Caenorhabditis elegans: one gene and its partner. The protein of the gene in region 1 purifies or fractionates together with the protein of each later gene. This does not show direct contact. Each region holds a gene or a part of one and is shown on either strand. Other genes may lie near its edges.

Region 1 (8,617 bases):
ATTTTTTGTTATAACTTTAACTATTTTTATAATAAATTTACCATAAAGTTTTTAATTAACCGATGAAATTTGGTGTTATTATAATATCCATTCGAACAATGTGTGATGAAGTTTTCACAGGCCTTCGGAACTTTCGGCGCGAATAATTCCAGATTCAATGGCCCAAAATTTGTAACAAGCCGCACAAAAGCATTTTTCTTAACTCGGCTGTACCGAACTGTATCATTATCCAAAACAGCTGCTTTATTGCTTGTAACTGGAGCCATTACAGTGGATGTGAATCCAGCTGCGACTTTTCCTTGACTATAATGTGCTGCATTGATCTCATCGGCAGTTTCATCAGTTTCTGTGGAGCTCTTCTTTGGGACATATTCCTTATCCAATTGATCAAGAACTGATTTGCAAGCATTATTCATTCGTCGAATGTAGAATTTTGGATCTTTCATTGCATCTTTTTCTTTTTTAATCTCTTCTGACGTCTTTAAATCAAGCTTCACGTGTAGAAACTGCTCCATATTGAATTTTTCCAAATGATTTGGGTCTTGAAGATCAATTATATCAGCTCTTGTGAACGGAACATCGGTTAGAAGATCCTTGAGATGATTTCTTTTTAAATTCAATTCTTGCACGGCTTCATGAGAATAGACGTTTCCGGAAGTAGCGATGGCCAGAATATGACTGTGGTCCGTGAATGTTCTGAATGTAACTGGGCATCGGAACTTTCCATCTTCTCCTTTATCGAATTTCAAGTGGATTAGATCCTTGGCAACCAACGGTTTTCCTGTACACGGGTTTTTGCCATGCTTCTTCAAGTAAGGAACGATAGCACTGAAAATTTTTTAATAAAAAGTAAAAAAAATAAACAGAAATTTACGTTAAATCGAAAATTTCTCCTGATCTTGCGCAAACTGGGTCTTCAAACGGTAGAAGTGACAGCGAGCAATGGTTGATGGGTAACCTTTTGAACTGTGCTCTTTGGAGTCTTGTTCCAGTATCTGAAATATGAAATTAAATCTTGTTTTTATTTATAACTCGTGTTTAAATAAAAACCATCTTTATGTCCTCCAATCGATTTCCATTCAGAAGTGGTCAGATAGAGTTTATCTTTCTGATGTTGCTTTTTTCCCATTTTATCTGAAAATAATACAAATAAATACTAGTTACATTTATGTAGTTATTAAGCTTAATTAAAATGCCGATTGTTAAAAATTGCGAAAACAAATCGGCTCGTAAATCTACACGAAAACCTAGGCCGGCGGCCGCCAGCCACCTCGGGTCTCGCCACGATCACATGTCGATTTACGCGCTCAATTTCATTGACTATTGACGTGGATTATCTTGTTTCTCAATGTTTTTCCTCCATTTAAATTGTTTTTCAGAGATAAATTTTTAATTTTATAGGTAATATTAGCAAAAGAGAGGATTTGCAATAAGATGGCAGACTTTGACACTGTAAGTTTCATTTGCAGCTTATTATTGAAGTTTTTTTTTTTTAACTAAAAAGCGAAATTTCAGAATCCAACTTCTCTGTACAGTATCAAAGGAATTGTGATTCTTGATCAGGATGGAAACCGTGTTCTTGCCAAGGTTTGTCGTTTATTTCACAATTACCATACAAAAAACTCGAAAAAATATCGATTTTCAGTACTACGACCGTACAACCTTTGGAACTGTCAAGGAGCAAAAAGCTTTCGAGAAAAGTCTCTTCTCGAAAACTTCCCGCAACACTTCAGGTTTGGCTGATTTTTTTTTGATGAAAACAATAAAAATTAAACATTTTAAGCCGATATCCTGCTTCTCGACGGAGTGACTTGCTTGTACCGCTCGAACGTTGATCTGTACTTCTACGTGCTCGGATCGACCCGCGAGAATGAGCTTTTCCTCGACGCAACTCTCACCTGTCTCTACGATGCTGTGTCTGTCGTTCTTCGCAAAAACGTCGAGAAGAAGGCTCTCATCGATTCCATGGACACTATCATGCTGATTATTGACGAAATCTGTGATGAAGGGTTATTTTTTTTTATTTCTAAAAGTATTCAACTGATTTAAAATAATTATTACAGAATTATCATGGAAACTGACGCCCAGGCTGTCGTCCAAAGAACCGCTCTCAAATCCGACGAAGTCTCATTCTCCGATCAATCCGTATCACAAATCGGCTTCTCGTTCATGAAATCTGCCAACGAGCAGTTCAAATGGTCTCTTCTCAAGTAAATGGAATTCTATAAATTATTTAATTTAAAATGTGATATTTATAATCTCTCCAATACTCTTTTGTGAATTAAAATGAATAAACCTCGGATAAAATGGTGTTTTCATTGTAAAAATTGTTGATTTTGTGCTGTTTTTGTTGAGTTTTTGGTTCGTTTTCTTAACGCCTAACTATATTTTCAGTTTAAAGCTTAACATTTCCTGCATGAATCTAAATATCTATTTTTCAATTTTAATTTCAGAAAATGCCACGGCCAAAAATTTTGAAACGAGCAACTGTCCAGCCCAGTGCCGCCGTTCCTGTGAAAAAATCGACTCCAGAAAAAGAAGGATCCAGACAGAAAAAGACGAATGGAAAAGAGAATGCTTCTAGAAATTTGCAATCAAATTTAGAAGAAGATTTGGAACAACTGGGCTTCGAGTATGTATCTATTATCCAGATGAATTCTTGAGCAAAACCGGGTCTCGACACGGCAATTTTTGTTGAAAACAAAACGGGGGTGCGTCTATAAGGAGTGCTGTATTATCACAATATGTGTTCTTAAAGGCGCACAGATCTATTCAGGCGGGTCTCTGCGCGGAAAACAGTATCGTAGTATTTTCTTTTTCTTTAAATTTTTCCGGTTTTTTAATAGAATAATAGAAGGAGAACTAAATACAAAAAACGGAGTAATTTCTTGAAAAATGAAAGTAAAAAACTACCATAAAATTTAAAAGTTTTTCGCGCGCCGAGACTCATCTGAATGATTCGGTGCGCCTTTAATAATGGTAGGCCAAAATTTCGTTGCGGAATTTCCATCGATTTTTCATTGTTTTTTGTTAAAATTTTTTTTAAATAAACAAAAAACTAGGATAATTAAAAGCGCATGAATTTTAACGAACAATCGATAAAAATTCCACAGTTTGAAACTACAGTACTCTTTAAAGGCGCACACCCGTTTGTAATTCAAAAAAAATTGTCGTGCCGAGACCGGGAATTTTGGCGCAAAAATTAGAAAATCTTCCATCTAGCTAAAAATAAGTACATTTTCGAAGCAAATCAATCATTTTTCCAGGGATGAAACTGTATCAATGGCTCAATCAGCAATCGAAAATTACTTTATGCAAGGAAAATCGGCGTCAGAACGAATGAATAATGCGAAATCCCGTCGTGGAAGACGTGCTGGAAATGGAAATACTGAAGAAATTGAGGAAGACGATGAGATCAGTAATGCTATCACTGATTTCACAAAATGTGATCTCCCTGGACTTCGAAATTATATTACCAAAAAAGATAACACGGAATTCGAAAAACGATTGGAGCATCTCGCGGATAATGATTTCGGAAAATGGAAGCTTTACCTAGCAGCTGGATTTAATATTCTTTTGCACGGTGTCGGTTCGAAGCGTGATGTTCTCACAGAATTTGAGAATGAGCTATCCGATTATACATATATGAGAGTGGATGCACGGAAAGATGGGCTCAATGTAAAAGTTCTTCTTGGAGCTATCAATGAGAATATGAAGCTGAATTGTAATGTGAAGAGAGGCCAATCTACGATTAGTTGGGCTCGATCTATTCGCAGAAAAATGAATAGCCAACAGTTGATTCTTATCATTGATAATATTGAAGCTCCTGATTGGAGGTGAGGGGAATTCGCTTTTATTTATGTATAAAAAATTAATTTTAATTAATTTCAGAAGTGATCAAGAAGCATTTTGCGAACTTCTTGAGAATCGGGATTCGGTGAAATTGATTGCTACAGTTGATCACATTTACTCGACGTTCATCTGGAATTCGGTGGGTATCTAAAATTTTAATTTTCGAAAAACAGAAAATTATATTTTTTTGTTATTTAAAATTATTTTTTTCTGTAGAAATTTATATATTTTAGTATGTTTTTTGTTCATAAATATAATAAAAATTTGACAGAGAGAAAAATAAGAGAAAATAAGAAAATCTTAAAAAAATCGAATTAATATTTAATCTGAAAACGGCAAAAAATCGAAAAAAAAACAATTTTGAAAAACAGTCAAATTTATGGCAAAAAAATTTTAAAAAAATCGCTACAGTTGATGGCATTTACTCGAATTATAACCCACTAAAAACATTAAATTTTTGAAAATAACGATTTTTAGATTTTTTTTTAGATTTTCCGAAAAATAGCTTTCAAATAAAATAAAATATATTGTAAAAATGTTTAGTCAATTTTCTTTTGAAATTCTCAATTTTTCCGGAAAAATCAAACAAATTTTTTCTACTTTAAAAAAAAACAAGAAAAATTAGAAAAAACAAACATTCTTAAAAAACATTTTTATTAATGCCAAAAATATGGTTCTAAAATGAAAAATATTTATTATAAACTTTTTTGAAATAATTTTGAATTAAAAACTTTTTATTCATAAAGGCATGGTATAATTTTAGAAATGTAACAAAAAAAATTGTAATTTTTCTATTCTAAATGTGTTTTTATAATTTGTATTTGAATATTCCAGAGGTTCAAAAATATTTTAAAAATTAGAAAAGTTATTTCCAGTTATTTATCTTTTTTTATTTCAGCGTCAACTATCATCACTCTCATTCGTTCACATCACAATCAACACCTTCGAAATTCCACTTCAAGAATTAATGACTGGAGATTCTCGTCTTCTTGGTCTTGATGCTCGTTCGAATCAATCCTCTCATACAATGTCATCGCTTGATGTGTTCTGGAAATCTCTTGCCGTCAATTCACAAAAATTATTCCGTCTCTTTTTCCAAATGTACTTTGACACCAAGAAGCCTGTCAAATTCTGGGATTTGTTCAATGCGGCAAAGTGAGTGGAAAAAATAAATTTTTTCGATTTTTCAGTTTTCTTAAAGCAAAAAATTCAAAACTGGGAATATTTGAAAAAAAAATTCGATTTTTCCCCTTTTTTAAGCATAACCAAAAAACGGAAACTTTGTTTAAAAAACCGAAAAAATCATAAATAATAGCAACCTTTAAAAAACTTTGATTTTTAGAGTTTTTGAGCAAAAAAAACTGAAAAACTAATTATTTTTGATGTTTTTGGTTTTGGGCAGAGCGGGAAATTTTTTTAATTGAAAATACCGACAAAAAAATCTAATTTTTTTCGATTTTTCAATTTTTTAAAGGCCAAACCGAAAAACCTGCAAGCTTGCACAAAGGATGCCCCGAAATATTTTTCGATTTTCGGTTTTTTTTGTGCACAACCAAAAAATTTGAAAAAAAAACCCAAAAACACTAATTTTCGTTCAAAAAAACCGAAAAAAATCTGAAAAAACTTCAAAATTGGTAATTTTTTGAAATAATTTTTTTTGTTTTTCGATTTAAAAAATCCTAAAAATTCCAGAGATGATTTCATTGCTTCAACTGACGCTGCTCTTCGAACCCAACTTGTCGAATTCAAGGATCATCGGGTTTTGAAGTGAGTATCCCCCCCCCCCCCCCAAATAGATAAATTCTCATCTTCCAACCAGATGTCGTTTGCTTATTCAAATATTTCAATTTCAATTCCAAAATTTCTCCAGGTGGACCCGTGGTGATGACGGAAACGATCAGCTGTCGGGCATTGTCGAATTACGATTAGTGACCGAATTTCTCGAATCGAAGAACATGCCGTTAGACGAAAAGAAAGACGAGTAGCTGCTGCTACTGCTGGAGGACCTCAAAAATGAACACACTCTGCCTCCTTTTGACTCAATGTATTTACCTTCAATTGTTTTATTTGTTGACTCTGCGCCCCCCGTCCGTCCGTCGATGCTTCTTCATCCCATTTTTTTTTACTTCAATTGAAACCTCAATCTTCACTTACTCTCATCTGAACGCTCATATTTAAGGCAATAATTTTCATTTTCAAATATATCAATTGAAACCTTTATCTACCGTAATACCAATTTTGTGTACCTTTTCAAAAATCTCATTTCCCCCTCGGTTTTTTCTTCACGATTTCTCAATTATTTTCAGTTTCTCACTATCAGTTTCACATTCCCATATTTGAATGAATCTCATTTTCCAAGTTTTCCCTCTCTCACCATCAAAAACCAAATCCTCTCCCTAGAGTTTCATGGATGTAGTAATATGATACTCTTTCCTGCTCGCCTTCCCCCCAAAAATGGGCTCACAGGTGCCTTTGTTCTAGCTTTTTTAATTGGAAAATTCGGATTTTCCTCGCACATTCTCCCCTAACTTTTTTGATAGAAGCTTTTTGAAATGACAAAATTTTTGTGTGTCTTGGAAGTTTTTGTGTCACTTTTTTCTGTCAAAAATGTCTCCATAGAAGCTCGCAGAGATTAACGATGAGCACTTCCGGCCCACTAGGCTCAGAAGAGCAGTATATCATGTTCCTTTTCTCTTTTTTTTTGCTTGCTGACTCAAGTCAATCAGTATTTAGGCAACAAGGACGAGAAGGACTTTGAATATTTGAATGCGATGAGCATTTTTAAACTTTTTTTTGTTTTTTTTTCATATTATCGCTCTCAGGAACAAGAGAATTTCGAACTCTACAGGAACTGGATCTCAATATTATGGGGACGCAGAACGCGCTCCACGGCCAATTGGAAATGCCCCGCCCCGGAACCATGGGTCTCGTTAGGTGTTTGGCGAGAAAACCGGGAATTCAAACTTTTCCTAATAGTCTCGTTTATTTTTTATTATATTTTCCGTTGTTTCAATGGTTTTTATGCCAATATTGATATAATAAAATTCAAAAACTTCATATGAATTTTTAAAACATCAAGACCCATATAAAAATTACTAAAACCAATGTAAAACATATTTAAAAAATCGTCGAAAAATGATTTAAACATTCGAATTTCGAATTCCCGGTTTTCCTAATATTACCTAACGAGACCCATCCTACTGGGGCGGATCGTTCCGTTGGCCTTAGAGCGCGTTTACGCGTAGACATCAAAAATGGTCAAGATCAAAAATTGTCAGAGAACCCTCTATATAAGTGTCAGTTTTTGTGTCATTCTTCTATGAATTTTGAATTTCTTTGCACTTGTACTTTTCAACTTTCTCTCTTCGTTTTGGCAGAAACTGAAAAAAAAAACTTTTTTCTACAAAGTTTCGTACTTTAATAAAGCTTTCAAATATTTGTATTAACCCACGTGTGGGCGTTCGAAATTGCTCTAAAAGTTCTAAATTGTACTTGCTTATTAAAAATGAGTTTGGACAAAAAATCCCCGCTGGCGCTGCTCCACCTTTACATGAGCACGTGAGTTCCTGTTCGACCCCTCATCATATTTTAATCCAAAACCGTCACGCGCAAATGGTATAAAAGAGCCATGAATCTATCAGGATGGGTCTTGAAGCGAAAAGTTCCGAAAGGCTTTCTCAATCTAGTCGGAAGTTGAAGCAAATTTGTTATAGTCTTATTATTTTCTAAATTCAATTTTTCGTGGTGAGACCCTTCAATTCCCCGATTGTCGACCAAAAGTTCAATTTTTACAGTGTTATGTCTCTTTTAACAGTCCTGACAATTATTTTTTTCTGATTTTTGGTTCACAGAAACCGGAAGCCCAGGCCTTCGCTAATAGTCCAAAAACACGCGCTGAAAAAGAAATCTCCGATCTTTAAGCTTCCAAATCCAAAAATTCCTCTCTCCCATAACGGGATTCCATCAAAAATGCATTCATCTATTCATTATCTGAAGCTTCCAAAAGTGCGAGTTATCCTTCTCGCCTTCTTTTGATTCCATATTGCTGATGACACAGACTCATACACACACAAAAGACATTTGAATAATGTGTGATTTCCTATTTAATTCCATCGTGGTCCCCCTTCATGCCCTCATCTCTTCGCACCGCCTGAATTCAATCAGAATTTGAAGCTTTCGCCCCGCCAAATCAAAATTAAACCATGTTTTGAAGAGGAGCCGTTTATGACTTTTGGGAAATTGGACAAAGGGGCGGAGCTCCAAGAGAATAAGGCAATGAAGAAGAAGCACAATGGAGATTCCTCACTCTTTATTCTATTACTTTTTCACGCCTCATTATGCACCTTTTTAATAGCGATTTTTCTCGAACAAACACACTATCAAGGTTTTTTTCCGGTCATAGTTTTCCTCTTTTCATGTTTTGTCCCTTGTCTGCCTGAAAGCCGGTCTATTTTGTGATTTTTGGCTAAAAGTTTGGTGTTTGTGCTTGTGTTTGGCATTGGGCCAAGGCTTAGAAGTAGGCTTAGGCTCAGGCTTAGGCTAAGGCGTAGGCTTAGACTTAATATTTGGCTTAGGATTAGGATTAGGTTTAGGTTTAGGCTAAGGCTCAGGCTTAGGCTTAGTCTTAGGCTTATGCTCAGGCTTCTGCTCAGGCTTAGTCTTAGACTTAGGCTAGTCTTTTTTGTCCCTTGTCTGCCTGAAGGCCGGTATGAATATTTTGCAACAGTTTCTAGCGCAACAAAGTTATAAATAGCTATAAACTAAT
Region 2 (7,969 bases), on another chromosome or scaffold:
ATTTGAAGGCATCGGATGAGGAGAATGAACAGAAAAGTGCAGCAGCAAGAAAATCAAAGAGTGAGAAGAAGAAGGATTCTTGTGAGAGGTCAAGCGCTGAAACATCTTCTTGCACCGAACAGACCTCTTCGCCAATGTCAGAAGCTAGTTCATCTGATGGGAGAAAGAAACCGAAGAAGGCTGGGAAATCAGCTGAGAGAAAGGAAAAATCCGCAGAAAGGAATCCGTCGAGTGAAAAGGATGATGATGGTGCAACGGAGGCGATGATTGGTGTCGAAAGACGTTCAACTCCTTCCGATGTTGTCAAGAATAAAAAAGGTCGAGCGAAAGGTGATCCGGAGAAACAGAAGCAGGATAGAAAGGAGAACAAAACTGAAGAAGAGAAGAGTGTAAGTATTATGGATCCATCTCGAGACGTAAATAGAGAATGCCGCAGTTTGAAAGCAAAGTGCGTGCAATTGCGCTCCACGACAATATGAAACTATTTATTGGCGGCAAATCCGGAAATTCAAATTTTTAGTAGAAAATTTTAATTTACGTTTTTGACGCCAATACCTAACGATATATAAATTCCGGTGAGCAGAGTTTTCATTGGAGCGCAATCGTACCAACTTTGATTTCAAAACTATAGTTTCTGCGTCGCGATAATATAAACGAGTCTTTGAAAATTTATAATTTTCAGAAATTATCTGAACCACCGAAGCCGAAGCCGGGAAGAGGAAAAAAGGTCAGCCGCGGACTGATCACCCGCGAGTTTTTGTTGGGAATGAGACATGATTTTACTGGTACACAGTCGGCAATGACAGGCTCATATGATTCTACGTCTGCCACATCGTTATCCACGTGGACTTCGTCTACGTGTGCAACTGATGAAGGAGAAGAGAAGAGGAAGTTCAAATGGAGTCTGAAGTCTGAAGAGGATTCTGAAGTTGAGTTTTTCGAAGACTTGGATCAAGAGGAAAGAGAACATTTTAGAAACTATGAGAATCTAGTTGCTCTTTCTGTTAAAGGTATTTTTTATTATTATTGTAATTGTTGGTCATACTCTTGTTATAGATGAAGTGGCCCTCTCGTCTGGATCTGAAGTCGAACCACTCTCTGATATTGATTCTGAGGAGAATCTGGCAATTATTAAAAGACTTGAGAAACGAGAGATGGAAATCGGTTGGGAAGTGTCAAGTGAGCGGGAGAAGACAACCGGCGATAGAAGCCCAGATGATCAACTCGATAAACTGGAAGCATACGAGAAGAAGTGAAAAAAGGAGAAAGATTAAAACTTCCATCGGAACTTGATCTATTACTTGAAATTGAAGATTTGAATAAACTGAACTTGTTTCTTAAATTTGTGAATACCTGAGTCGTCATTTTAGTGGCACAAACTCCGTCAAAGATAGTAGGCAGGCACATTGGCTAGATGTAGGCGATAAACTAGGCATTGAAACCTGTGGGAGGTGCATAGGTATACCTATAGGCATGCATTATGCACACAAGTCGGTAGACATTAAGATCGATGTTTGAGTACTTCTCTGTTATTGTTACCAGTCTGCCTACCGATACACTTGGGTACATCACATTTTCGCCTACCTACGAGCCTACATCTTGCTTTTCCCTACTTTTTCCTCTCACTGTACGTACTAAATAAAAAAAATGCTGACTTTCACATTAAAAAGCGTTCTTTGGGTGATCACCATGATACGGTAGTATGATTTTATTTTCATTTCAGTTCATTCACAGCTTTAAAATGATTGTAGTTAGTTATTTGAGATACATTGCCATAAAATAAAATAAAAATGCTCAATCTTCTTCCCAGAATTCGGCAGCATTGGCGACGGAGACTTCTGACATGCTGACTTCGGAAGAATCAATTGGATTGCATGATTTTTCTGAAATTTGTTGAATGAGGAATGGCAGAAAAGTGGACATGAAATGGTAGTACCTTCAGAAAGAACTTCAGCAAATGGTTCAAAGTCTTCTTCGTCTTTCAACTTCTTGAGAAGTTCATTGAACTCGTCACATTTTGAGTTTTCAACGAAAACTGAGCGAATAACATTCAATTCATTGACGAGAAGCTGTAAATTTAAAATTTAAAGTTTTATTTTGAAAATCTATTTTTGAAAATACCGTAAAGAACTCAGTAACTGCTCCATTTGGTTGAAATTTGCAAGTATTTGAAATCATTTCAAGAATTTTCGAGCAAACACGACTAGCTCCGCCATCTTCCATGATATCCATTTGAACTTCTTCTTTTCTCGTCAATTTCTTTGCATTTGGTTTTTTCTTTTTCTTTTGACTTGCACCATCATCTACCTCATCTGGTTGTGTCATATTCTGTTTTTTCTCCGTCCATTCGGATATCATTGTCTGCAGATCTTCAGGCTCTACCGTAACCCGTTCTCGTTTGGTTTTCTGAATTGGTTGCAGATTGAATTCGCGGCCAAGCTTCTGGAAAATCTCCGGATGTTCTGCTTCGACTCTGCGTTTCGGTGCCATTATTTGATCGAGAATTTGATTGGTTCGATTGGAATGATTTTCGAAGGTATCTGAAATGACAATAATATTATTTCATTTAAACCGAATTCACAAGAATATGTACCGTTTGGATGTAGAACTAAACTTTTGAGAAAATGGCATTGCATCTGCAATTTTGGATCACTCATTCCACCTTCGACCAGTGAAGAGCTGAAAACAATTTTTTATTGGACAATATTTTTCTGAAATTCAAACATTTCATCTTCTTGTAATTGCATACAATCGATAAGGTCATCTACAGCGGAGAGTTGAGCTACTGAAATTTAATTAGTTTTTTGTTAAATTCAAAAGTCTGAATGAATATATACCAGTAGGCTTATTCAAATCTTCATCTTCCTCGTCAAATGAGAATTTCGGGAATTTCAATGTTCTCATATCATCGGAAAATGGTAATTTCACTGATCTTAGATAGAAAACGCCAGTTTCTTCATCTTGATGTGGTAGAAGAGCAATGAGTTGCACATGAGATTTTGCATGGAATGTGTATCGACAAATGGCAGCGACTCGAAGTGAAAGCATTGCTTCGATGAGGGATACGGTAGCTTTGGTGGCACCTGATTTTGGTGAATTGAGAGCAGGAAGTACTGTTTTCGCGCTGGCATCGAGGAGATATGAGTCGAGAATCTAGAAATAATTATTACAATTATGAGATGCGAAATTTTGCGATTTATGAATGGCTATCTTTCTTTTGTTGTGATTTTGAACCAAAAAGTAAAAAAAACGTTATTTTTTTTTCAAAAATGCTAATTTTAGAAGAGAGGTAAGACACCGATTTTTTCGGAGAAATTTGTTTTTGGTCGGAATTATTATTGTGACAACTGGATCTGAAATGAGATTTTTTTGGTAAAATTTCGTGATTAGTTTTTCGGTTTTTTTCTCAAAAAAATGACCATGATTTGTCTATTTTAAAATACAAATTTCAAAATATCGTGTTATAACTGTGAAAAATCGATGAAATTTCAACGGAAACGAAATTTTGAAATTACAGTACTCTTTAAAGGCGCACACCCTTTTTTCGTCGCCTCTAATTTAACATTCTCCGTCGTTGCGAGACCATGTCATATCTTACATTTGCTCTTTTCGTGAACTGTATCAGTTTTAGCACTCCACCAGTCTGTCCCTCGTTGAAATTATGATCATTGTATTTTTCTTTAAGATATTCTGGGTCCATCATGATAACCGATTTTCCGAAATTGTAGCCTGACGCATTAATAATAGATTTTAAAAAATTTAGAATTTCACTACCATGCATAGTTTTTATATTTTCAACGGGTTTAAAGTTTTTCTGAAATTTCGGTTTCTCTTCCAGAACCGGCGATTTGAATTCATCTTTCGGAGCAACTTCGTCAGTTTCCACGTGCATTTGTTCCAATCGAACCATTTCATTTCCTTCGGAATCTGCATTTTTGAACTTGAGTAGTGCTGTAGATTTTTCAGATTTTAGAGCAAAAATCACCGGGAGATGGATTCCAGGAGCAATCTGAACGTTATTTTTATTGTATTAGATTAGATTTCTTCAAAAACTCTTACATCCCACATTTTATTGTATTTTCTCTCGGATTTCTGACGAGCCTGGAAGGTGGAGAGCATCTTTGCGACGTTTCTGGAAATTGTAATTATGATGATATTACTCCAGGCGCGAAATGTTATAGTATTTGCGCCGAAAATACGGTAGCCGGTCTTGACACGACAATTATTGTTAGATACAAACAAGCGTGTTCCTTTAAAGGGTACTGTTATTTTAAATTTTCGTTGTTGTGGAATTTTTAAAGATTTCTCAAATAATATTTATGTGTTTTTAAAAACCATTATTTCAGTTTTTTTTAACGAAAAATTATGGAAAATCGATGAACATTTCGCAAAAAGCGTGTCTAGATTCCGTATTTTTGGCGCAAAAATCGCCAATTTTATTTTTAAAAACTCACTGAAAAGTATATGTTCTTCCTTCTAATGTTTCTGCCAATTCTGCAACTCGAGAAGCAGGATATTCTGGATTTTCATCGATTCCACTGGAATAAGTATTTTTTTTTCAACGCTAAAATGGAAAAATCTTACATTATCATCAAATCTGCATTACTTTCACTAACGGCTTCAACTAAAAGATCGAAATTTTCTTGTCGAATGTTCTCGTTTAATCCATTTGTCAGTACAATCAACGTGATTCCTGATGGATTCGGATACGATTCGATTTGATCTTTTAGCACTGCGACGGCTCCCAGAACACCTTTGAAAACTGAAAAAAATAAATAGGATTTTTGAATTTGTCTTGGATATTCTCTCACAATTTGGATCTATCATTTCTGTATTTTGCTGCAATTCCTTTGTGATAAACTTTAAATGATCAAAGCTGGCTGGTGTAAACTTTTCATTTTGACACTGGACTCCATTAAATGTTTGACCGCCAACTTCTGTTTTGTATTCTTTCGGATCCAAATTGTAGGCCATCACTGAGAAGAGCTCGGGATCTTTGGAAAATAGCTGAAAACAATTTTTTCTTTGAAAGTTTTCTCGAATTTTAGTATCACTTTTCTCGAAACAATCCAATCTGCAGCATTGATCGCATTTTCAAATGCACTTTTTCCAGTTTCAGTGTCTTTCACAGACATATTGGATCCTGCGTCGATAAGGATTACGGTAATCCCGGGAGATACCTTTTTAGGCGGCATTCCTGTAACTTAATTTAAATTGGTGATGTTGAGAAGTTCATATGGAAATATTGCGAAACATGTGAATAAATAATGCGTGCGTTTTTCAAGACTGGCGCGGGTTTTGTACGCAAACACCAACTTTTTGCTGCAGCGAAAAATGAATTTTAAAACATTAAAATTAGAATATTAAAAGAAGATCATTTTAGATACTGCTGGAATATAGCTTTTATCGTTTTTTTTTTCAAATAAAATAAACCAAAACTGATTTTTAAACATTAAAAACCGCTCCCACAAATTCACGAACGTTCGTTCGAACCTCGCGCCGATTATTTTGCGCGTCGAATCTGGTGCACGCGGACAGTTCACCGTCACGCAAAAGTGCACACTCTCAGAGATTGATCACATTTTTCGGTCATTCGTTGTTTTTCGTGAAAATCAAAGTTTAAAAGGGATGTTTCGGGAATTTTTTGTTTGATTTTAAACATAAATTAAACGGTTCTTTCCGAAGTTGAAAGTTCTTCGGTTTTCCGATAACTTCCTCCTTTTCTTGCTTATTTTCAGTGTTGTGTTTGTGTTAAACGTTTTCCTCGTTGCCCGATTTGGTCTTTCGTAATTCTATTTTCTCTGTCAATAACTGACGTTAAATTACACGCTCTATATTTTCATGCGCTCTTCTGGTTCCTCGGTTGTATTTAAATCTTTCCAGAATGAGCGATACTCCAGAACAGGAGCAAGACTTCGAGCTGATCGACGGAGCTGAACGAAAATCCAGCACTTCAGATAGTTTTGAAGCTGTTGATGAAAAGAAAAATGGTATTTTACAAATATATGTTTTTTGTTTAGTGAATTAATAGTTTAGGTAGTCAATCTGTCAGTGAAAACGAGGATGACAATGCTGACAAATCGGCGAAAGAGGAAGATGATGAAGTTGAAGAGGAGATGAAGCTTCCATTCGTTGATCAGTCAATTAAAGACGACGCAAATCGGCCGAAAGAGAAAGACGGTGAGGACCTAGTAGAAGAGGCACTGAAAGCACCGATTCGACCCGATCAAGAACAATTCTACACAGCAGAGCATTCGAATAGAGCTATAACTCTGCTCATCGCATTTTCTGCAATGATGTTCACACTTCCACTGCTTGTTATGGCAAGCTTGTATTATTGGGTATTCATCGGTAAGTGGACTTTTCCAGAATCAATTTTATAGATAATTTGTTTCAGACCACTTCCATTTACCACCAGCAGAAGCCATGCTTTATGCCGGAGTATGTGCTGCCTTGGTCGTAATTCTCATTGCTGCCGCTTTCTGTTATATTGCATGGAAAGAAGAGAAAGACGCCGAAGACAAACTCAGAGCAGAGAAAAAGAAAGAATAGCGTGGCTGTGTATTATCTTCTTCAAAAATTCCTCCTGAACATTCACTTCCCGTTTGGACCTCGTTTACTTATTTGTGATCACTTCGACCCGTTCTATTTATATTAGTGCCTCTGGCTAGATGCTTTTGTACATAACGAATAAATTTTTTTTGTTATATTTTTTCCTTACTAATTGAATTTTTCTCTCTGAAGCGTAGTTTTCGCTTTACTATATTTTAATTTGAAATTGTCAAATTTTGTATCTCTTGATTTCCTTTACTTTTGGCGCCGCTGGATTCAACTCGGGATATCCGGGATTTTTTTTAATTAAAAAAAAACAAATTTTCGGTAAGATTCTCCCAGAAACCTTGGTATGAACCTATTCTCCCCTTAATAATCTTATTTTTTATTCCAATAATAATTATTTGATTTTAAACCCATGGATATACCGAGTTGTTTGCAGCGAAATGACCACTTCCTCTTCATCCGAACCATCAACAATGGCAACTCTGTTCCCGAACTTTCGTGATCAGGAAGTCCAATCCGCTGTCAAGAACCTTCTCACGTATAGTCTTGTGATTCTCATCGTTCCTCTTGCTTCTATGTTCCTCTTGAAACAATTCTTTTTCGAAGGTACAGAGCTTGTTCTACCGATTATTTTTAATTTTTGAAAAATGAATAAAATTCCATTTTCTCTCCTATTTCAGGGCTCCTGGGTGTCAGTGCAAACGACGCTTTGACCTATTCTGCGATCATTGCTGTCGTCCTCGTCCACGTGGTTTTGGGTATCTGGCTCTTCGCTGCTACCAAACAAGAAGATCGCAAGAAGCGTGAAAACAAGCAAGACTAGAAGACACAATGCAAACCGACATTCATGGTTCTCGGCAATTTTTTCTGTTTCACTTTCCCCAATCAATAATGCCTTATTTCTTGTATATTGATCAATCGAAATATTTAAATTTAAATTCTTTGACAAATTTCTTCAAGTCGGACTTAACCAATAAATTTAAGAAAATACACACTAAGTCTCCTGCCCGTTCTCTTTATCTTGTTTGCAGCATGAAAATAGCTCGTTTTCAGATGAACCAGTAAACTTGGGATTCGGAGTTCAATTCGAGCCAGATGATCTGTATCGTCTACGTTCGCAATTTCTTCCACTCGGAAAAATAGGAGGAAAACCGTCATGGTTGAATCCAAAAAATCTTCCAAAATCCGCAGATTTGTTGTGCAACGTAGGTTTTTTATAACAGAACTTTGAAACTGACCTAATTTTAGCTAAATCTTCAATTTTGCCAACTTTTCCGTATTGCAGCGTTCAGAAATTAATTTTATTTGATCATTGTTTTATTTTACTACAAAAATATGGAAAATAAAACAGCAATACGGAAATATTTGCAAAATTAAAAATTTTAGCTGAAATTATAATTTTTTCAAAATT

What was found. The genes of interacting proteins can lie anywhere in the genome.
Region 2: the proteins of orc-2 (region 1) and cku-80 fractionate together in Caenorhabditis elegans (co-fractionation; one large-scale study listed by BioGRID). This does not show direct contact.

The regions. Positions count from the first base shown.
Region 1 is NC_003280.10:10,871,478-10,880,094, forward strand, and holds orc-2 (Origin recognition complex subunit 2), read left to right. Parts: upstream 1-2,453; 5' UTR 2,454-2,456; coding exon 2,457-2,632; intron 2,633-3,266; coding exon 3,267-3,836; intron 3,837-3,891; coding exon 3,892-3,991; intron 3,992-4,750; coding exon 4,751-5,007; intron 5,008-5,544; coding exon 5,545-5,619; intron 5,620-5,722; coding exon 5,723-5,837; 3' UTR 5,838-6,457; downstream 6,458-8,617. Other genes in the region: cyn-4 (Peptidyl-prolyl cis-trans isomerase 4), read right to left, coding at 42-828, 875-995, 1,051-1,129; copz-1 (putative coatomer subunit zeta), read left to right, coding at 1,435-1,452, 1,516-1,587, 1,646-1,733, 1,784-2,009, 2,064-2,214.
Region 2 is NC_003281.10:4,417,082-4,425,050, reverse strand, and holds cku-80 (ATP-dependent DNA helicase II subunit 2), read right to left. Parts: upstream 5,204-7,969; 5' UTR 5,196-5,203; coding exon 5,055-5,195; intron 5,008-5,054; coding exon 4,812-5,007; intron 4,763-4,811; coding exon 4,585-4,762; intron 4,539-4,584; coding exon 4,455-4,538; intron 4,133-4,454; coding exon 4,060-4,132; intron 4,010-4,059; coding exon 3,775-4,009; intron 3,730-3,774; coding exon 3,599-3,729; intron 3,154-3,598; coding exon 2,838-3,153; intron 2,786-2,837; coding exon 2,725-2,785; intron 2,680-2,724; coding exon 2,594-2,679; intron 2,541-2,593; coding exon 2,122-2,540; intron 2,070-2,121; coding exon 1,937-2,069; intron 1,884-1,936; coding exon 1,795-1,883; 3' UTR 1,676-1,794; downstream 1-1,675. Other genes in the region: C28A5.6 (Protein kinase domain-containing protein), read left to right, coding at 1-389, 683-1,010, 1,057-1,256; R07E5.7 (vacuolar ATPase assembly integral membrane protein VMA21), read left to right, coding at 5,885-5,990, 6,037-6,351, 6,398-6,552; R07E5.19 (Vacuolar ATPase assembly integral membrane protein VMA21 homolog), read left to right, coding at 6,999-7,164, 7,239-7,381; pdcd-2 (MYND-type domain-containing protein), read left to right, coding at 7,390-7,408, 7,612-7,763.